Linked DNA regions of Coturnix japonica. The protein of the gene in region 2 purifies or fractionates together with the protein of the main gene of each other region. This does not show direct contact. Links are inferred from orthologs where the notes say so. Each region holds a gene or a part of one and is shown on either strand. Other genes may lie near its edges.

Region 1 (7,532 bases), on a different chromosome or scaffold from region 2:
TTGAAGACAGGAACAATGAAGCCAATACTTGCAAGGAGAAAAACAAAAAAAAAAAAGAGTGATAGATGCAAAAGAGCAGAAAGCATCCAAAAATGTACTGTGAAGTACTGGAGTAGAAAGGAAACGACCCCAAGTAAAACATCGTGTCCTTCACAGGTTGCTATTCCTTGGGAATATTTGTTGGTAAAAAAAACAACCCCATCAGCTGAAAGTCATCTGGTGACAGTTACGTACCCCCAGAATAAAGACCTCTGTACTGAGGTTTTCTTCTTCTCCACTTTCTTGCTGACTGGTCTTAATTTAATCACACTCCCATCTTTCTACCTCTGCACTGGATGCAAATAACCAACCATCCCACAGCACGGGGAGGCAAAGTTCTACTGGATTGGAAAAATCAAACATAGGTCATTTGGGGGTAGAGAAAGCTTCTCTGGATAAAACTGCGTCCAAACGCAGAAGCAAGCTGGGAGCAAGCCCATATTTCACAGAAAGATGGAGCCATTTCTGATGACACATTGCTTGCAAAAGTGGCTTTCTCCTCCCAACACCATTCACAAGGGGCAGTGGGGAATATGACGTGCTGCCATGCTGGGAACTGGGCTCTGGCAGCTGCCTGGCAGGAGCTGGGAGTACTGCCAGACACACCGCGTCCTGGGAAGGAGCCACCTACCCAACATAAGCAGGACTTTTTGCAGCTCTCCTTGCCTGGCAGAGAAGTACAACTGTTTTGGATGGAACCGTAACTTCTTGGGTCTGCAGCAATGGGGAAAGAGGCAGAATTAATACACGCTGAAGAATATTCCCCAATATTTTAGCCCAACCCACACCATAGGCATGAGAAAGTTTGTTCCTATGGTACAGCTCCAGAGTGCCAGCAAAACCAAAGAACATCAACTGTTCAGAAGATGGCTTATTCCTTACTTTTCAGAGTCCAGGGCAATCAGGGCACTTTCCAGAGTTTCTTTAACTGGTCCCTGGGTCAGGCTAGTAGTAGGCTTTGGAAAAACTGAAGATCCAGCTAAGTCAAATCCCTCCGCAGCCGAACTTTCTGGCTTATCTTCCTCAGACAACCGCGTTCCAGTGACACTGAAAATGAGAGAGAGCCAAAGCACAGCCATTAAAAATATACAACGCTGTGTGTATCTTATGCCAAAGAAGGAAAGGAAATTGATTTTAAATTGACAGACAGAGTAACACAAAGCAAGATATTTTACAGCCATTTTTGGTAAAGAGTTGCATTGACCTATGACTACATTTCGATGTACTCTTTGCAACAAGCAACAGAACATCATGGGGCTGAGGGCACTGCCCTGCTCACTACAAGTCATAAGAGCCTTGAGAACAAGATCAGATCACACAGGAAGCTGAAGCACTCTTCATCACAGGGATGTCTTCACTTATGTTTTCCTCTAAGTTTTGACTCTCTGCATCTGTACACACTGCTGGGGGCAGCTAAACACCTCAGGCTAAGTACTCCACATGAAGGGCTGAGGCACAAGCGTTGAGGCTGCCACGAGCTCCCAAGCTCACCTCCCTGTCGTGGTGTCAGCCCTTCCCTCCACTGCTGCTGGTTTCTGCTGCTCATAGGCCAGTGACACCGTGGAAGTCGTGTCTGCTTTTGCTATTGTCACCTCCTTTGCCTTGGAGGCGTCTTCCCCGCAGTGTGGGCAGTAGCTCGTGTCGTTGACCTGGGAGGCACAGTTCTTGTGGAAACGGTGGGAGATGCTGCTCTCAGGCTGACACTCCATGAAAGTGCCCTAAAAAAATTACAGAGAAGATATTCACACCTTGGTCACTACGAGCCTTACCCCTTCCACATGCTTCATCCGCAGAGCTCTTAAACACATCATTCACGACCTCTCTTGTCCCTCGCGCTTCCAGTACAGTAAGCAAGCACTGCCACTTCTTTAGAAGAGAACAAAACCAAGGTAATGGGAAAAAACTCACTTGGTTAGGAACTGCAAAGCAAGTTTTTTAATTGCACGTGGGAAACAGAACCACAGAGTCCCATTTTCCAGCTCTAACACTTGAGGTTCTTGCTTACGTTCCTAGAAGTGCCAGTGTACTGTAAGGACGCTCCCAATACTGGAAAAGAAAACTTCAAACCAGTCAGCACTAAAACTACCAAACACATCTGCACACAAACCATTCAAGGAACAACAATGATACAATTACATCAGCTGTCAACCCCAGTGTTACCCAAAGCATGCAACTCCTCTGTTTGGACCAGCCCTGTATGCTCTTTAACCCCATCTGCTGACAGATGTGAGCCACCTTTCTACAAATTATCTTCTCTTTCCAGCAAAGTCCTCCAAGTTGAACTGCACCCCAGAACTCACTGTTCTGTGATATCAGTGCTACCTAAAGCCCTACGGTGCTCTGTGTTACTAGTGACTGATAACACAAACACTGCCAGATTCACCTTTATGAACTATGAGGTCACTCAGAGATGTAACAGCATTAAGGAAAAGTTAGTTTAAACCCACTCTTCTCCTGGATTCACAGTCCTCCCAAGACATCTTATTAACTATTTCAGCATTGCAAAATGTCTTCAAGCGTTCTGAGGATTATATCTTTCAAATGATCTTTGACTCAGCATGAAAACTCGGGATGGTACCATTTATTACAGTTATAATAATGTTGAGACTACTCTAATACCTTTCATCGAGTCATCTTTAAGAACGCTAACATCAGACAATTAACCCACCCTATCACCCCGGGAGGCTCTCAATGAGTGTTTCACCAGCAAGGAAACAAGGACAACGATGGCTCAAAGCACTGGGCCAATGCTATTAAAACCTCAGTGGTAGAGAAGGAGGAGGAGATCTCAAACATTGCCTTGTTCCAGTGCCATCACTCTGGTTCCCCCACCTCACTGTGCGGCACGGGGGACAGAACCCCTGTCCTGTATGCAGACTAAGGCTAACACCATTTGTGATGTGATTGACTGCACAGAGGAAGAAAAAAAAAAAACAAACAATGTTCCAAAAAAATTCCAAAGGTATGAATTCCACCCCTTCGGTGACACCCCTCGGGGTCTCCAGGAAGTTACAGGTGAGCATTGTAGCTACTTTCAAACACATTACTGTTGAAAATGCCATCTGATGTGCTGTGGAATGAGGTGGAGCTTATGCCAGGAAGTCAGTAAACCCCTTTGGGTAAATCTCCACCTTCACCTCTTCCAGCTACTGCAACAAGTACCCCCTTCCCTAGATTGAGAGCACGGACTTACTGCAGTGCAAAAGTATCCACAGCCAGGGCAACACTGGTGTTTCACCATCCTCCCTCTATGGTCCTCACACAGCACCAAAAGCTGGACTTTGTTAGACGGGCGCATCAGTTCATACTTAACCACACTGTTTGTGCATCGGCCCAGCTGGAACAGGAGAAATTAAAGGAAATGAAATTACTGGAGACCAAAACACTCTCTGTGCTTGTGCGGAGGAAGATTTTGCACACTGCTTTGATGAGCCCTGGCTTTTTCACAGTAATTCAGATGTGTGCCAGATAGCATTAGCAGGGCAGCAGGAAGCTGTGAAAGCTGCTCTCACAGGAAGAAATGCATCATTTACTAACTAACATGCATGTGGACCGGACTCATTTGTTCCTTGCAAGAAAAATCATAACTGGAAATACGCAACAGCCAAGCAGCCACAGAGGGGGCAGTCCCAGGGGCCTGACTCACAATACACTCTCTGCTTTTGCCAGGAAGAGCGGGTGTCAGTGACCAAGAGAACAAGAACATACGCGCTAAATCTTGTTACTGTTCAAAAGTACAAGTCACAGGAAGATAAAGGGAAAAATAATTGCTCTTCATTGCCAGCTATGTTATCGTCTGTACTGGTTCCAGCACTGGCCCCTGCCCAGACCACAGGGACGAAGAGCCAGTCGTTCATGAGAGCTCAGCTCCAGTCAGATTTTGAGCATGCTTTCTGCAACATTTCACCAGTGTATCATTTCGGGCCTAAGAGCTGTCTTCTGGCACCTTGCTCTGCCAGTGACAGCAGGCTCCATCAGCAGGGCTTTTCCCAGCAGTGTCACTCACTCTGCTGTGCCTCAAGGACTGGGGCTTCCTCCTGCCACCCCTGTGTACACCTATAAACCTTCCACATCCTGTTTGCCACCTGTCAGCGTGGTACAACATTGTTTGAGTTCTCTAAATCCCTTCAGATGAAAACCTTGCTTTCTCCCAGTGCTTGGCAAAGGACAATTCCAGCACAGAAACATAAACATGAAAAGTTCATAGGAGGAAACACCCCTACCAGAATCTGAGCGTGGTGTACTGCACTCTGCCTCCATCACCACAGCAGTCCGTAAGGAACACAGTGTCTGCTCCTCACTAGCAGGCTGCCCCTCCTGCTCTGTAGCTGAGGTCTGATTCACTGCTTTTTCTCAGTAAAACTAAACTCCCTGATTTATTTTAAACTCCATTTCTCCTACAATCAACACACCTACAGGGAAAAAAAAACAAACAACAAAGAACTGTTTTTAACCTGAGCTCTTCTCCCTTAGCATCTCTGACCCAGCTTACCCAAACTCCAGCTGCAAAGCCTACCTGCGGTTGTGACACCTTACCTGAAGTGATCACTGCTCACACACAGACCCCAGGGGCTGCAGGAGAGGACCAGTCCATTGATTTTTATTTATGAGTGGAGGAAATCTGATTAAAGCAGGAGAAGCTGCACTGTCTGCATAAGGAAGTCCCTGCATCATCCTGTCACAACATATTATTTGTTAGAAAAGTCTAAAATAGTACAAAATGATCAATTGCTATTTTCCAGCCATTAGAGAGTGTAGTGGTGCTCCTGACTATTTATAACATTATCCAAGGACATGACTGTCTACTGAACCCACTATTCATACATGTAATATCCTTACCACATCTATGAGTCACTTATCCCATTACCAAAAAGAATCTAACAGAATGCACGGCCTTCACTATTCCTTTATCTGATTTATCTGGGGGAAGAACTGCCAGATAACCACAGGAACTCCTCTGTATTCTTTCTGTTTATTTAGAAACCCTGGAGAACCCTCTCTCCTGCGAGTCTCCAGGGCATCCCCTCCTTCACCTACCAACTCTGTCACGATAGTGAAATTCCTTTCTCTATAGGTACCAGCATGTACTAACAGAAGCAGAGCAGGGCTGTCAATGTGATTACCCCTTCCTCCCTCCATCCACCCTTCTACTGTGATACTCCAGAAGAACCAGGAGTGCTCTGACTCCTTGTCCTTCTATCAGTAAATATCAGAGCACTGCAGCATGGCTGCAGCTCAGCTGATGCATCAAAGAAACGCCAGTTTCTTCCAGAGTAAGGAGCATCTCCCGAGTTTGCTTCTGTCACGCCATCTTCCTTTCCAAACTCTGAGAGGGAGTCACTTTTGCCTCTTAATTCCACCTTCTCAGAACCAGCAGAGCCCAACTAGCCCAGCTGTGATCAATTTAGAGGCATCAAGTGCAACGTTTCCAGCCAGCCACAGAGGCTGCGCAGGACTGCCAGGACATAGGAAGCTTAGTAACACAAGTCTCTTGGGGGGGAGGAGGAAAGTGGAGGGCCAAAGGAGACTGAGCTGGCAGAAGGCATGCCAAGTTCCAGAAACTCAAGAGCTGGCTACGGAAAGGTTTGCATCAGCTCCTTTGTAGTCAAGGGAACCAGCTCCAAGCTTCCCCCGATTGGATTCTCTCACTTTGATGCATGCTAATGTATTTTAGCCCACTTGGCCTGAAGTGTGCTTGTTACATCCAGCTGATCCAGCTACACAAGCCAGGACAAGCAGGAGATCCACCCAGTGCTTCTCCAGCTAGCCCCGCAAATTGTACCTACTCACTTTGGAGTGGCTTTAACCAGAGTGTGCGAAACATGCAGAGTGCTGCAGGGAGGTGTTTGCCCCACCGTGCCCACACCACTGGGCTCCCAATCTAGCATGCTGCAGAGCGTCTGCGTGACCTGATGCATGCCCCTGGCATGGCTTTATCTCTTGACTATGTCTTTGTCCTCAGGAAAAAAAAGTCTGCGAGAAGCTGAAAGACAGGTTCCTACCTCATTATCCACACTCTCGGTGGCCATGCACTGGTTGTTGGCTAGCGTGGTGATCTCTCTGCTTTTGGGGGTTTCCATTCGACAGCTACAGAGGGGAACTTCCTGGAGACCATCTACTTCCATTGCTTCAGGGCCATTGGAAAGACCTAAAGTACAGAAGATCAGTAAATCAACTCTCATGTTACCCTCCAGGAGGAAGGATGCAGTCCATCAGCACCATTCATGTCTCATGGCATCTTCCAGTTCCACATCCTGAAATGCTTTAAAGGCATCATCTAAACCCTGCAAAAAAAGACCCACTTCTTACAGCAGATGGAATCTGCAAAAGCATACTGTGCTTTTCTGAGTCCAGTGACACCACAGATGACAGCTCTGGATTCAAGAACACTCTGTTAAGAACAGTTGATCCTGAGAAAACCCCAACACGGAAAAGCTACAAGGTACAGATTTTTATCAGTCTGTCTCTTTCTCACCTGTCCCACAGCACTGTGCTCTGCACCAGGAAATCGGTAGGAAACAAACTAGAGTTGGAAATTTGAGTAGTATGGGGAGTGTTAAATAGAGAAGATCAGGAAAGCATAAACTACTATTGGCAGAAGCTTACAATGCAAACGGGAAAACAAAATTCCTGGGACTATTTGGTCTCACAGAACCAAAATATAGATGTAATTTTTATTTATTTTTTACTTGTTTTTGAAAGAAAACAAACCAGAGAAAAGAAAGCAGCAAGATGTTCGGATCTTCTTGCCTTCTCCTCATCTCTTTCTCTCAGATATTTAACACTTCCAAACCTTTTTAAAGGTGGACAATGACTTTTAAGTGAACACATGGCCAGGAATGGGGGAACATTGTGAAGGTTCTCCCTCTGGATTCAACTCATTTACTAGGTTATGTGTGACCACAAGACACTGACCCGATGACACAGGGATTACTTTTTGTCCCACACACCTACCTTAGTCCTACACAGTTGTAACATCTCTTGCAAGGTTTTAAACCCTCAAACATTACCTGCAGTTCACCCTGCAGCGTCCCAAGCTTTTCCTGAACAAGCCTGTTATGGGTTTAAGTCACAGTGAGAAGGAAGTGTGCTGCTGTTTTTGAAGCTTTTGGAAGAATAGCTGTTTTGCTGCAAAATTTCAAAGACTAACTTCATTCTTTAGAGATTCCTCTGTAGCTGCCCTGACAAAAGCACTCTCCCCCTTTCCTGCCTATGGCTGCGACCCTATCAGCTGAGTAGAAGCTCTTTTCATCTTGTAAGGGGTTTCCTTTGGCTAAGTTGCAAGACTAAGCCCTGAAAAGGGATGAGATGTTTCAAGACACACAAGCAGAAGGAAAGCCCTTGCAGTTTTCATGTAAAATCCTACCCAGATATTAAACGTGTAAGAGCTTTATCTAGGACCACAAATCACAAAGCTCATTCCTCACCTTCTAAGCTGCCGCTTTCATAATCTTTCTTGACATCCAGAGGCTCTGATGAAAACACCCCTCATC
Region 2 (8,014 bases):
TTAAGAACACCTGTTTTCTGATGGAAACAGAAAACCTTGTCTGTATCCTTGAAAAGAAACTACTCCTTTATCATGTACATTTCTGTCCTTTAAAGAGCACAATGTTCAGTTACTCACCAGTAATCAGACTTCCCTGAATAAAGGCTGTCCTTCGTAAAAGCAAAAGATGAGAGATTTTATCTGAACTTTCTGAAACACGTGCCATTAATATGCATTTTCTTTTTCAATTCAGGAACCCCGTTCAACTCTTCCTCTTTCCTTAAGTAATAAAGCCACGCTGTTAAAACCACTATAACACATTCCAAGCTTTATTCTGGGCACTTAAAGGAAGAGGCAACCTGTGCAGAAAGAATGACATTAAGCTGTATACCAATGCTTCAGAAAGAGGAAAAGGGATTGTAAGGATTGCTGAGAAGCTTTGGGTGTGCAAGGATGTCTTTTTTACTTCCAAAAGCTGAACTAGAAAACCACGTCACGTCTGTCAGGGGTGATGCAGGGTCTTCACTGACCTGTTGGACATGCACCGTTGGTATTTTCTCTGTGTACCAGGTGCCTGCAAATCATTTTTTCTTTGTTTCAAGCTATCAAACCAGAAAAATCAATCTCACAATTTGTTCACAGAGAATCCAGATGTAGCAGAACTGTCCTCATGCTGTAGCCGCCTTCCATTGCCTTCCTACCTCATCTGTTAGCTCCTAGCAAACCACCAGGTCACACATCCCCAAGGTAACTTCCAAGCAATGGTCAGTAAAACATGCACACACTTAATTAAAGATTTCTAGAATATAAGCAAACATGCAGCACTGTTTACAGATCTGTTACAATGTGAAGTGCAATGATACCTTAATTAGAGATAACAACATTTCCAAATGCCAAAAACATTTAGATTTTTTCAGATTACTCAGAAAATGAACACATTTTATTTTTGCACTGTGACACTTCCAACTGTTCTGCCAAATGTATACTGCTATAATTATGCTTTGCAATCATCAGCTTCACTGGAGAGGGGGACAAAGAACAATATAATCAGTAACTAATAACTATATATAATCAGTAACTAATAACTAACATCTTTCACGTGCCTCGTTACTATTTTTCTACAAGAGAAGAAGCCTAAAAGCTACTTTATCGACTGTGAACAAGTCTAACATTAGCATCTCAGTCTGCCCAGGACCATGCTGTTATGCCAAGGCAGACTTCATGGCTACCAGTGGAAGCTGAAAACCACAGTTTCATATCTGGCTTCTTCAAGGGACAGTCCAGCTGCCTTTACTTAAGTCAAAGCTGGTTTATAGAACTGTGTAAAGGAGACAACACATGCAAGAACATGGCACACCATTCGAATAAGCAGGGGAAAAAAAAATAACCCTGAAAATAGCTTCAGGATGAAAGGCAAATATTCAATTTCATATTTAAGAAACCACTGAAGGGAATCATAGGTACCTCAGAGACAAAAATTACTTACACAACTACATTAAAAGAGAACTAATTGCTCCCCAAGTAATAGAGTCAGATTTTTTCTCCGCTGAGTATTAAGTGAAATTTAGTAGTAGCGCTCCCATGCCGTCATTAACTTGGGAGAACAGTAAATCCGATGCTGCCTGTTCAATTGGTTGCTTAATTTGCATGATTCGTTACTGTAAGCGAGTGTGCAAATTGCTAAAAGCCATTGGAAAACAGTTCAACTCACAGAGCACTTAAAGTGCACAGCCCTGTAACTTCCAGGAGCGCTTGTGGCGATCCATTAACTGCACAGAACAAGCTGTGTGCAGCCCTGTGCACATGTTCACTGCACCAACATCTCATTTGGGGAATCAGTCCCACACCATTCAATTTTTAGCAACTGAATTTCAACTCGCTATCACCTCCTTTGAGCAGTGAGACAAACAGTAATGAAATGTGGTGCGTCACAAAACCGCTGGCATCTCTTTATAGATGCAATAACGCACAAACGCCTGCTCATCACAAGTTTTTATGTTAAACAATTTAAAAATATACATATAAACAGCAGCAGTAATTAGCAAACCACCGCTACCTGCTTTTAGTGAGCTTGCAATAAAATCCATCTTAAAAATAATTCTTTTTTTCTGAGCCAAAAGGTTGAGAGAAAAGAAAGCTTTACGGGGACTGTTGAACAAAAAAAAAGCTGACAGAGAAGATAAGCCACCTTTAATAGCTGTACAGCTCATTAAGTTTCCTGAGCTTTAAAAGAAACATTATGCATCCTCCTAAAATATAAAATACTTAGGCTGTGTTATGGGAAATACGTGCCGAGAACTCCTTGATTCTTAAACCTGAACAGGACCACATAGAGAGAACAGCTTTTCTAAAAACAAACCTGCCCCCTCATTTTTATCCTACATTACACACTGGCACGGATCTAACAACATCAGCCAGAGATGTTTACAAACCTCTAAGAACATCAGGAGCAGAATATAGATCTGACGTTTTACACAGTCAAACTGAATTCCTGTACCCAGAAAACCTTAAGCATTTTTCCATATCCATTTTTTCTTCCCCTCTTCTCTTGTTTACCCTCTTCCTCATCTTCCCACTCCCACAACACAGCATTTATCCAGCATATGGTAAAGGGGATTAGGAAGTCAAAGTGGCTAAAAAACTTCATTCCTGCTGTATTTTTCAACTGCATCAATTCCCAGCAGCGCATGGCCACACAGATAGATTTTAGGATGCAGTGAATTGTGTAAGGCTGGGAAAACAAGCCACACAAATGGCTGTGATTAAACAGTGTCACAACATGTGAACACACAGCCTGAGGGAAGCCGCTGCTGTTTTATACAGTCACAGAACCTAACGGTCTGCCACCTCCACCCCGACTGCATTCTTTGCCACATCATCACAACTAATTTCTCTTACGTCATCCAACTGACAAATATAGTGACCCTAAGAGAATGGTGGAGTTCAGTTCAGCTGTGGGTGCCCTCAGAAGGGACAGGTTTCTCTGTCCTCTCTCATTTCCGTCTCCTCATGCTTTGCTAATTCAGCTCACACTAAAATAGGCAAAAATAAAATAAATATATACCTTTAAGTTTTCTGGTAAGGTCAGACACAGAGACTCTAGAATGAGGACCTAGGACCAAAGGATGAACAGCACAAAGCACTGTGGCATCTCACCCATAGGTCACTTCCATCTGATCCTACAACAGAGTTGTCCAGAGGAAGGGACATCCTTCCCAATTTCCCACCCTCAACAGCCAGCTCCCCAGTTCTTGGTGAGCAGATAAAGCTGACACCTTGGCCAATCAGTCAACTAGTGACATGAGACCAATTTGGATCAAGTATTCAGGGTGAACTAAGCTACTTTTTGTTGAGATTACATCACTTACGAAATTGTACCCTCTGGTACTCTGATGAAATGCCTTTCTCTGGCTTTGTCATAAGGAACTGTCCATGTGCCCCTCATTCCTCCTTTCCAACTGCTATTTCAATGCAACTCGTGAGTCAGCTGTGACCTAGACTGAGGAATTCACCTACATAAAAAAATTCTCAAACAAAATATTGTATTTTTAGTATTGGTCCTCTTCCACTTTGGTTCATTATATGGGTACACTCATATTGTAACAAAGAAAGGGGAAAAGAGGAGGATACAACAAAGCTACCAGTGACTGCTGACGACCAACACAGCTGCTTCAAATGCAGTTTACTGCTTCAGTATTAGGCATGATGCAAAAACTACTCATCCAACAGTCTGTACACTTACTCCAGTCATACCAGAACGGGTTTGGTAAAGAAGTTAACAGATCCCTTCTAAGAAGAAACAAGCATCTAGTATTAAAAAAACATCATTAAGCCTCAACCACTTGTGCATTCATCAAAATACAACTTATCCCTCAGCCTGTTTTCACATCAAATCTGAAAGAAAACAAAGAACACCAGGAACATACAATTCACACAACTGTGATTCAAGATTAATTGACTGATGCAAGTGATTCCACTCCTTTCACAAGATCTTGGTATTTTTATTAACGTTCATTAAGTTTGGGGGTCTTCTGGGATTTTTTTCTTTAACTTCTTTCCCATTTCCTCACTAAGACCAGATATGGGCTCTTAAATCAATCTATATGAAGCATATCTGTAGAGAAAGACCCTGGAGAGGATTATGTGGTCTCCTTATCCTTTTGTGGTTGTTATTTTATACAAACCCACAAGCTTTCACAACATCTTGGCAGAACGTTTTAAAATGCTGAGCTGGAAGGAAACGGAACTGGACAACAGTACAGAGTTCCCACACTCTTTGCTTTTATTCATCAAAACCCAACACCTCTGCACAGTTAACAGGATTTCAACAGGAAACACATCTCAATTAAAAAAATACACTGAATGACCAAACGAGCAGAGTTCTGACCTTCAGAAATATTTATAATCCACTAAATGAATGCAACCTTAGAAATTGAAATATCCAACCTTCAAATATGCGATCCAGCCGTTGCCGCTTCACTTTGTGTTTGTCCATTAGAGACATAAGAGGGGAAGCTCAGAGAACGTCTCCGCACAGTTTGATGATGGACTTCAAGTCAGCCACAACTCAGAAACGTTTTCTGCCTTTTATAAACTTGTTTGTTTTTTAAACCTGTGAATAGAAAGACAGATTTCTTAAATATAGTGGGTTTTTTTCCCACCCCTTTCCAGAAGAGTGACCTATGTATACTTAAAAGAATAAGAAAACATTCACAGTTCCTAAATATACTTGGTATCCTGGGATTTCACAATAAGCTTCCCCATAGGAAGGCATCATAACAAAGCAATCAAGGAAATGCTCCTCTCATCCTTAACTCCATGATATTAGAATAAATTAGAGTTTGATACTGGGAAGTTTAGGGTCACGATTCAAGAAACATATAACTGAAGATGTGCATCCCAGTGAGAGCACAGACTGCCAACATCTATATCAAGCAAATGGCATTTAAAACAGCTTCATGCATGACTAGGCAAGCTCTTTGGCAGCACACACAACTAAGCACTTTTCAGATCCTGCGTAGCTGGGCAAGACAGCAGAAGGGTAACACAACACGAAGCCTGCAGGAAGGGGGTGGGGAGAGGAGAAACATCCCGCATCAAAATTCTCACCAAAATGTACACTGTAAATAAAACACACAGGAGCAAGTGAATGGGTAAAGCTATAGAGATCCTTGGAAAAGCATAATAAGAGCAGTGCATTTGTCCCCTGTAAGAACTTAATAGGCTCTGAGAACCAAACACGTATTACAAGCATGGTGCATACAAACACAGGCCAAATAATTCATTTCCCTGTTTCCTTTTATTCCTTCCCAGGAGCTTTCAACATCAGTGGTGAACATTACATGGCTTTGCAAGTGACCAAACCTAGAAATCTGCTTGTTTCTTCCTTGATTTCTTCCTTTTTTTTTTTTTTAATCAAATCAAACAAGTGCACATTTAGTCAACACCTCACAAAGACTCTTGAGGTGAAGTGACAAAAATATTTTGAATATGAAGCACTGCACATTTGCATTAAAACAGCTATCTTCTTCCAGCCGTACTCTGCTTGCTGCTTTTGGATTTTTAAAACAAAGCTCCTCTCCGTGTTTATTTTCACTTGAAGATGAAGGCAATGTGCAATATTCATCATGCTTTTATCGCTTTATTCAACCTCATCCTCCCACCCACTCTCCCTCCACCTTTTCCTTTATCCTCAGATTCAAGAGTTCTAATGTTCTGCACAATGTCTGACTACAGCTGAACATAATCATCGTGACAGCAGAAATTGATGAAGAATGCTGAAGCCAAATTTCTCTTTAAAAATAAAACAAAACACTGCTGTATAGTAAATTTCCTGTTATAGTGCCTCACATTGATTATTCCTGCAAAATACAACATCCTTCAATATTGAACATGGCTTCAAGATTACATGAGCATTACACCAAATCTAACATGCGGTTAAATGCTTTTTAAAATTAGCCATAGCTACCTGCCTTTCCTTCAGTCAATGTGCCAAACTCGTGTCAACCCCAAACTAGCATTTCTTTGCCTGTTACCTTTGTTTTACAACCTACCACCTCCAATAGACACAGAAGAAGGAAAATAAAAGAGGACAAGAAACAAAAACCAGAATACACTGAATGTTTCCAATGCTAATCTAGGTTTAAATTTTTATAGCTAATTTAATTTCCTGTCTTGTAGAAACATATATGCCTTCTGTCCTCCTTGCGCTCAGTTTTGTTTATTCATTCAGCCCAAGATTTTTCCACTGTAGTCATTCTATGTACGAAGTTGGCTGACAGCTGTAAAAAAGCAGCCCATCTGTAACTACTGCCCTACCGCTGGAAGTGTCACCAGCTGCTTTCTATCCATCTACAGTAGCTTCAAAGCGTACCGCATAAATCAAGTAGCTTTGTTTAAAGCCCTGTTTGTTTGGTTTTTATCCACGGCAAGATGTTGTAAGTTTTAAAAAATACGTTTGAGCAAAAATTAAATTAACATATTAACACAGTGTTAAATGTAACCCTCACACAATTTTATTATATTTCGTGTTCTAATCCAAAGAGAAGATGATATGGGAAACATTCCCCAGCAAAACAAAAACATTCTAATTATGGAGCGTTTGTTAACTGCAATTACTAAACCACAACATGAATAACTGTATTTGAAAAATTCACTAAAAATAAAAGCCCATTGCCCAGGGAATTAGAACAAGAAGTATTTAAGAGCACACTTCAATATTTTAACTCAATGAGAATCCAAATGAACTCGGAATATATATTGATATGTACTGCCTAACTGCACGATGAGTAGTGGCTACAAAGCCATCTGAAATATCAGCATACAGAACCTGTTTGTGCAGCACAATTTTAAGATTAAATATATATCATTGAAAAGAATATTATAGCTTTTCTTTCAATTAAACAGATGATCCTAGTCTTTGAAGATATTTTTTAAGAGAAGATGCCTCTGGCAATTATAGCCTGGAGCATTTAGCTCTATCTCAAGAATGGATGAGCTTTACTCTTTGAGATACCACAATAAAAGAGAATCTCCAACATTTTTATAGCAGTGTGAGCAAATCCTACAAGCTGAAATGGGAATGTCAAGTAAGTAAAGCAACGTTGACTTAAGGCAACATTGGTAATGAAGTAAAGGACAAACATAAAGCTGTGAGTAAAAAGATCTGAAAACAAGCCATTCAAGGAGGTCTCTGAAGAAAGATGATGAGAAGCAAGAAAACTACGAAATGTATTTTTAAAGCTAGCCAGTAGGCTACTTACATGCACACTGGTAGGCTGAGATCACAGAATATCCTGAGCTGGTAGACACCTGTAAGGACTATCAAGTCCCACTCTTGGGAAGAGATGGGTTCCAAATTCCTAAGGAACTCTCTCTCATCAAACATCAGAGGTTGCAATGTAGGATAGTTTCCTTGGCTTCACTTTCATGGGAGACTTTTAGGTGAAACAGATAGCCTTTGTACTTAATTAATCTAGGTGGTGGAAGCCTACTAAAAAAAGTGACCTGCATCACACATAATCTGTAAGGAGCCCACCTACAAAAAGACTGTGTATAAGCTATTCTGAGCATGGACTTTGACCCATACAGGTAGGCAAGGCAAAAGACTGACCTGTACCTTTGCCTTACTATCAGCTTCCTTCACACAAAAAGATTTGTAGACTAAACCAAATATGGTGATAAAGTGTAAGAAATCCAAAACAGAAACAAAACTCACAGAACAGACTGATAGATCACTAACACAGTGAGAACAAAGCCATGAAGTTCTATGTTACCCCTGGGAATCTTTATCTTCATTTAATTTAGCCGTTCTAACATACGTTCTTTGGTCTGAAACTACATTAAGTTACTGAATTATTTTCCCTTTCTACTATCAACTTTCAAATGTATAAAAACCTACTGCAAGAAAAGCGGGAAGTTTATTTTCAACATTCCACTGCCATCGGTTTCTTATGACTTCATAAATTAAATAAGTTTCCAAGACAACCCAAGCAGACTAATGCTTTGCTTCTCTTTCTCTCTCATCCAAATCAAT
Region 3 (7,532 bases), on a different chromosome or scaffold from region 2:
TTTTCTTTGCACTATCTAGGTGCACTATTAATATCAAAAACTGTCTTGTTCTTTGCACTCTCAACATTTCATTTCTCCTCATCCCCAAACCCTGATGGGTGTATTTCTCCTTATTGGCCTCTTGCTTCTGAGTAGCAAGAGATACTATGAAGTACAGGGCGGTGCTCAAGTTTTATAATGCGCATGTCCCCCATAACATATTTTGCCATGAAGATGCAGCTTCTACCAGTGAAGAAGCCACAGGTAGGTCTTGGAAGAAGTAAGTCAAAACAGTAACTACTGATAACCGGCAGGCAGCTAAATCTGAAGCCAATAACATCACTGCTAAGTGAGCCTAACATTTCTTGGAAAAGCTGAAAAGGACACACACTGGACCCTGACGTAACAAAACAAGGGTAATCTATTTCAGTCCCCACAGAAAAAAAAGAAAAAAGAAAAAAAAAAAAAAAGGAAACAAAAAATACCCAACAAAAATTAATCAACAAAAACCAAGTCAGAACTTATTACTGGAGAACAATAGTAAAAACATAACCAGACATTGTCTGGCAATGGTATCAAGCAGGAGATTCATCTAAAAATAGAATAAGAAGAATGTGGCCCAATATCCTTTGCTAACCTAGAACACTAATAAAGGTTTATAGAACTCAACCATGAATGGATTGAGTGGGATTTTCCATATGCTGCTCACCAGTATAGAAGCAATGGGTGGAGCAGGAAGGAATGCAAGCCTAATGCTGAACAATAGCCTGTCTGTGCCTAACAAATCAGAGAAACTGTGCAATAATGTTTCATCTATGTGAAAACGTTAACATCTGAAATACTGCCAAGGTCAGCGAGACCTTTGGTGATCAGCTGTGTAAGTGCTTCTCATGCATGGTGATGGTCACTCCTTTAGGCACGTTATTTTTCAAAAGACTATCAAAGTGCTGAATGTTTAGGCCAGTTCCTCCCCATTTTCCTTTTGCCAACCCCTGTAAGACATCATCTCCTATCACCTCTCCTTTAATCATCCACCTCCCTGTCTATCTGGTTAAGTATCTTATAAGTAAGTGCACCAAATCCTAGAAGGGAGAGTGGTGAGATTCAGGTATGTTAAATACAAGAACTATTTTTTTTTTCTTTTTTTCTTTTTTTTTATATGATGCTTTAGTTTCAATTACATGAAAATCTGAGAAAGGCGGCATGTAAGTGAGATCAGAATAGGACCCTTTACATATAATCTCAAGTGAGGACTTAGTCCAGAGATACTTTCATAGAACATTTTAAAAAATAAAATGCATGAATGGAGAAATAAAAGACAACATAGTATCAGAAAGACATTTTAAACTTCATTCGCTGCAACATTCATGAACCAGTTGAGCTACACCTGCCATCCAACCATAAGGAGCTAAGACCCTGCACTGCGAAAAAGAAACAAACCCAAACGAAACAAAAAAGCAACTGCGTAATATTGTAAAAATGGAGTGCAATGCTACTACAGAATGCAATAAAACATCAGCGCTGCATCGTCAAACAGCACTTATCAAAATAATTTCTGAAATGTTTCTTCTGAAACACAGACAAAGCAATAAAAAGAGGATATATGTTTATCATTTTAAGCATAACAATGTGAGTTAAGAGCTTAAGAATACAAAAGTACTTGGAATGAATAGTGCTACCCTTTTTCTCCTAAGTAGGCATAAAAATATTTTCATTTCCTTCTTGCTTTTCCATACCATTAATATCAACAAATTTCATTCATTTCATGTTATCGTTTACAACTTTAATGCACACACACAGAAAAAAAAGATACCTACTGCAATAGAAATAGTTGCTTCATTACCTTGTTTGCTACATTTGCAAATGTAAACAGCGAGGCAGAGCCAGAACTGACTCTAATGCATGATGGAATATCTTTGTTGCATACGTACACTGTAGAAAATAATTATTCAATATGTCAGGCACCATTATTTGAAATGTAATACATTAATATTTACTAGAAAAATAAGGTTTTTTTTCTATTTGTTCTCCCAACTTCTTTAATGAAATAAGTTAATCTGACAGTGCATCCAGTAGCTTGTAATATCTTCTACATCCCTGTGGCAAAATAATAAACTACTGGTTGGGACGCTATAATGAAAATGATTAAAGTCAGTTCTTGTACACCCTTGTAGCAAGCATGGAGGCTCGTCTAACAGCACCTTTAACCAATTATTTAATATTTAGTTATTTAGCCCTATTTCCCTGAGCAGTTATGCTGAGGAGCTTTCCCTTCATGGACAGTTTTTACAAAGCTTTAAGTATTAAAAAGTACTATGAAGACATTTACTGCTACTTAGCAAAAGCTGGTATAAGTCTACTGAAGGGACTGACTGGTATGTATAGCAATGTTAAGTGTGGAGAAGTAACCTTAGACTTTAAGGTTTAGAAATGTAATATATTAAAATATATTAAAATAAAATACAGCAGGTTACCTTGTTCCACGCAAATTAAACCCGGAGTGTGGCTTCTGTATTAGAGACTTCACTAGCACAAAATGGTTTTCCTAGACTGAAGTATGCCAGAAAGGATGTAGAGATAAAATGGTAGCTAAAAATCAGCTAAGTCTGAGAGACATCTAGATGAAATTGCTGCCAAAGCTTTGAGGAAAGTGATCCTAAGGCATGTTGTAGGGCAGAAATTAGCCCAAATTGATAAAAAGAAAGTGACCTTTTAACATCTGTATATTTAACAAGTCTAGCTCTTATATACAATGTGCATATGCTCACTATACCTCTGCAGCAGTATATACATACACACATCTTTGCACTCTCGCCAGTTATGTCTCTTACAAAACAGCAAAGATATCAAATGTCCGGTAAAATGTTCTCAAAGTTATTTGCCATGGTATACTGCATTCTGGCTAGCTTTGGTGGGCCATGTCCCATATTACTATCTCCTCCACCTTCAGGCCACCATACAGTTGTTCTTTTTTTTCTTGGTAACCCACTCATTTAAAAGAAAAAGATAAAGTAAAACAAAAACTGAAAAAAAAAAAAGAAAAAGGAAGAAAAAGAAAAGACAAGGGGTTTAATATTGGATAAGGCATGCTCTCTATATGAAGTGCTTTATAGGTCTTCACAAGACATTACAAGCTATTGAATTCCCATCAAGGAAACCTATTTCTGTTTAATTGTGCTAAGTGCTAAGGTTTACTCTTTAGGTTTTCCATTCTTTTCAGCTTGTGCATTGTTCCTGTGTAGGCCCCTCTGGATGTGAGTTGTGAAGTCATACTTGTCCGTGCAAAGATGCTGGCATATGCTGCACTGGAAAGGTCCACTGTCACCATGGCAACTCATATGCAAAGCATACATCACTTCATCCAGAAAGACAATGCCACAGTGCACACACTTGGTAGAAAGTTCATCTTGAGTACTTCTATCAACTTTCTCTGTTTTTACTACATTCAAGGGACCTTCATTTTTTACATTTGGTGGTGCCTTACTCTTTTCCTTGGAGGCACCATTTGCAGTTGGCCCAGGTCTGGAATGCTTTATCGCCAAATCTAGAGGAATGTCATTGTCTGATCCAACAGCTGAAAAATGAGGAGGCAGATTAAAGGTGGGATAAGGCACATAGTTTTGGCAAGGATTTGGTAGGCCAGGCACATGACTCAAGTAGTGTGGATTCCCAGGAACAGACAGCTTATATTTACTCCAGAATCTCAGCCAGTCAGCTTCACTCTGAAAGTCATTGTGTACAAACGGAAGTCCAAAGAGTGGGTACTGGTATTTTTCAATGGGGCTTCCAGGTGGTGAATAGTTCGGGTGTTTCACAGGTCTCATGTACTTTTCAATTGGGCTGCCTCTCTCTGAGCTTCCTTTCCCTTCTGATATCGATGAACTGTTGCCTGGGTCTCCAGTACTTTCCTGAGGACTTTTTATCTGAATGTGCAAAGGTTGCATCCTTTTGTGAATATCCAGAGATTGGCTGACCAGTATTGGCTGCTGAGCAGAATGGCTTTTAGTCAATGAACCTTGGGCCTCATATTTAGTGAGGCTGGGAAGCTGAATTTCTCTCTGATGACCTTCAGTTAAGTGATCCTCTGACCTCCTCTCTAAGGGGCTTCCATTGACTTGCTCCTCACTGCTACCCCTCTGCTGTTTGTTTAGTTGCTCAGCCTGAAGTGCCTCCGGGTTAAGGCGCTTTCTTGTTCGTCTCCTTATGATCTGCTCACCATTGTTCTGCTTAATGATGTTTAAAGGCCTGGGAGTCTGCATGGAACACACACATAATGAACAAACAGGAAAAAGAAAGAGATATTAAACACATCTAGCAGACCAGGTTCATGCAAATTTATCTTTTCTTTTGTGAAGAGATATAAGAGAGTTTTAAGGAAATTACCATTTCTCACAAATAAAGTGAACCAAAAGGCTGCTACTTGGGCCCTCATGTTAAAAATAAATCGTGAATTGCTTTGTTTTATTACACTAAGTGAACCATCACAGATGTACTATACCTGTTTACTTAGAAAAGGATGAAGCATCCAAGTTGTCCTATTTCTGAAAAAGCCTGGGGGAGATCTGCTGAAAGAGGGTGCTGAGAGCTAAAGATTAGGTGGGAGATGCATGACTCTACACACTAGCATTACGCCATATATTATGTCATGAGAGCTGGTACTGGGCAGGGGTTTGCACAGATCACTCTACAACAAGAACTTACCTTTACAGCCACCCCATTTTGCTACAGATAAAAAATGACAGTAAAAACATGACTTGATGATTATCACCACTTTTAACTAGGAGAGGGGATACAGATCTGCTTTGGAGATAATGATGGCAAAAAAGGGTCATGAAGAAGAAAATGTTTTCTTAAGCTCCAAAAAGATGCTGGGACTTTGTCACGAATGCCTCTTTCTTCATTCCTAGTGCATTTCTTCCCAAATGTTACAATGCTGTGCTACATGAGGGAGAGAGGAAGCACCCAGAAGGAGGGAAAGGGTCTGCAAAGAAAAAAACAGCCAGGAAGAGGCAGAATCAAGCAGGGCCTTCTGTTTCCATTTGATACTTCCCTACACCAGCTCAGGGTAGGTGGCCTATTTGAAGAAGAGCTGAAAACACTTCTGCGTGAAGGAAGGAAAATAGTATGAAGTAGGAGAGCAGCCAGGCCACTTTGAAAGGGCCCTCAGCAGGAAGGGAATGGTATGTGAATGAAAGATGGTACTGTAATGTCAGTATGTGTTGCTCTACTGGGCAGATGTTAAAACAACAGAAACTACCTAAAAGTTATTCAGTTTGGTGTTCTGAGTTGCCATTTGTCTCATCCAAATGCACACATAATCCTGTTTTGGTTGGAGGCCAAAGAAGTGCCCCATAAAGTGTTCTACTTATATGTTTACTTGGGAATTTTCCTTTTAACATTGTTTTAAAGTGCAGATTAAATTTTGGCCTACAATCAATATCCAAAACAATTTGTAACTTAAATGTAACATAATTTTATGTATTAATATAAAAGTATCCAGAACTGGAGGAATTCTCACTCTTATACTTACTTCTCTCTTGATATATCATTTTCTCTTTTTTCATCTATTTGCTTTCCTGATGTCTACTCATTTTTAATGGTTAACCACGTTTTAGGCAGCGCAGCTACTTGATCAAATTCTACTTTCTACTAAAAATCTAAATAAAAAGACTCTGATTTAGAGTCTGAATACACAAAATTTCAACTTATCAGAAAAAGAGCATCTGAAACAGTCACAAATAGACCAAGGTAAGCCAAGGCAAATTCATGTTCAGATTAAATTAGAATATTTTCAATGTATACTTTATGCAAATAAAGTTTATAGTTGCAGATTCGATCGCCAATTAATATACATGTTACAAGCTCAGTTTAAATTACTTTTTGTCGACACTGTCATATGGACAAAGTGTGACAGAACTTACAAATCTGTTGAAGGTTGCTCACACTAAACATTGATTTATACACTACAGAACACTTTCATATGGGTTCACAGTATCATTTGCAGAGATATGGTAATAGTTTTAACCTTGCTACAGGTGTGAAATCTGATCCTGCAAGCAGTTAAAAGAATCATCTTCACACCTGTGAGGGAGGATCCTCACGCATATTTGCATTTCTGGCTCTTCAACTCACTTGCCAGGAATTAATGTCTGTAGGTACAACTTAACAATACTTAAGTATGACAGAGACTATCCTGCTGACAAGTCTTCAGCTGGTTAAAACAGCAAACACAGTGGAGTAACACTACACACACATTTCCTGTTTATAGTAAAAAGGGGCAGACAGCAATATAACGTGTGCTTGCAAGAAAAGATGAAAAAATCTACTCGCTTCTAGATCATCGATGTGGCACTCATATTAAAAAACAGAAATTGCCAGAATTCTCCTTTTCAAATGTCCTATATCAGACCTTTAATTACATGTTACACATAGTATATTTAGTACAATTTTTTTTTCCTATCTCTGTATCAACTGGTAATCTCCATCCCTCAAAAGCATAAGTAACATTAAAAAAAAAATAAGAAAGGAAATTCAGCACTAATCAGAATTATTTTGTCTAGGCTTCCTATATATGATGGGAAATTGCTGTGATTTCTGCACCAGGAGATCATTTATATCTAACCCTAGAGTAATATACCGTAATCCCTCAAGGAAGTAGTCTGAGAATTTGGCCGAAAAATCTCTACTCAACATAATCTAGTTTTTCATGATTGTATTAGTTATTAAACAAAGAGGAATAACACTGCAATGTATGTGGTCATATTCATGTCTTTCTGGAGAGAAAAAGGTTATACTTTTCCACACCAGTAATTGTGAACATTGTGTATGTGCTTTCACTGAAATGGAAGTATCTTTCTTCACTTAAACTATTTTAATAATCGACCGTTTAAATATTATTACACTTTTCATAACCTATTTGTCTGCATTAAGGGAGAAAAATGTGAAACATCTGACAAGATTCACGCAAATGATCCATAGGTATATTGATAGAAATGGAAATGTGACTCATAACAGGAATCATTACAATATTAGCATTTATCAGTCCATATTTCTTTAGTACTATTGGACAGATCATGGATTTTTCTCCTTACTAAATACCAGTAAAAGATGAGACTGTAGAGATAAGTGTATTATACACATTCTTAAGTATCGATCGGTTAATGAGCACAGTAGTTTTAGGCAGTGATAATCCAATTAAAAGGTAGCTATGAAATATACAAACCTACTAGAGGTGAATAATTTTATTCAGCTGAGTAGCATAATTTAGTTTAATGGGGCAGTTTCATTTTAAGGGAACAGTTCTAGTCCCTTGGATTTATTTTTTTTTTCATATTTTCAGCCTAATAACTAGTATCACCCTAGACTCCTTAATTTAAAAATATATAGATGACAAATAATTATTGTATTTTTTCATGAAGAGATAGCTAGGGAGGTATACTATAGGGATAAAACAAATCTTCAAACTTCTGCTGTTACATAAGAGTGTGGGACTGTCTTAAACAGTGTCCCAATGGAGAGACAAGTTTGATTGAATTGGGTTCTGAAAAACCCAA

What was found.
Region 1: the proteins of CTBP1 (region 2) and EHMT1 purify together in Homo sapiens (affinity purification with mass spectrometry; 3 studies listed by BioGRID and IntAct, counting the BioPlex papers as one, with this or other methods). This does not show direct contact. The link is inferred for Coturnix japonica from reciprocal best matches to the Homo sapiens genes CTBP1 and EHMT1.
Region 3: the proteins of CTBP1 (region 2) and zinc finger transcription factor Trps1 purify together in Homo sapiens (affinity purification with mass spectrometry; 3 studies listed by BioGRID and IntAct, counting the BioPlex papers as one, with this or other methods). This does not show direct contact. The link is inferred for Coturnix japonica from reciprocal best matches to the Homo sapiens genes CTBP1 and TRPS1.

The regions. Positions count from the first base shown.
Region 1 is NC_029532.1:1,220,396-1,227,927, reverse strand, and holds part of EHMT1 (histone-lysine N-methyltransferase EHMT1), read right to left. Parts: intron 6,188-7,532; coding exon 6,042-6,187; intron 3,377-6,041; coding exon 3,233-3,376; intron 1,758-3,232; coding exon 1,531-1,757; intron 1,087-1,530; coding exon 922-1,086; intron 754-921; coding exon 671-753; intron 1-670. UniProt on the Homo sapiens protein: Histone methyltransferase that specifically mono- and dimethylates 'Lys-9' of histone H3 (H3K9me1 and H3K9me2, respectively) in euchromatin.
Region 2 is NC_029519.1:76,689,341-76,697,354, reverse strand, and holds the start of CTBP1 (C-terminal-binding protein 1), read right to left. Parts: upstream 4,592-8,014; 5' UTR 4,484-4,591; coding exon 4,426-4,483; intron 1-4,425. UniProt on the Homo sapiens protein: Corepressor targeting diverse transcription regulators such as GLIS2 or BCL6. Has dehydrogenase activity. Involved in controlling the equilibrium between tubular and stacked structures in the Golgi complex.
Region 3 is NC_029517.1:121,431,721-121,439,252, forward strand, and holds part of zinc finger transcription factor Trps1, read right to left. Parts: intron 4,233-7,532; coding exon 3,171-4,232; 3' UTR 1-3,170. UniProt on the Homo sapiens protein: Transcriptional repressor. Binds specifically to GATA sequences and represses expression of GATA-regulated genes at selected sites and stages in vertebrate development. Regulates chondrocyte proliferation and differentiation.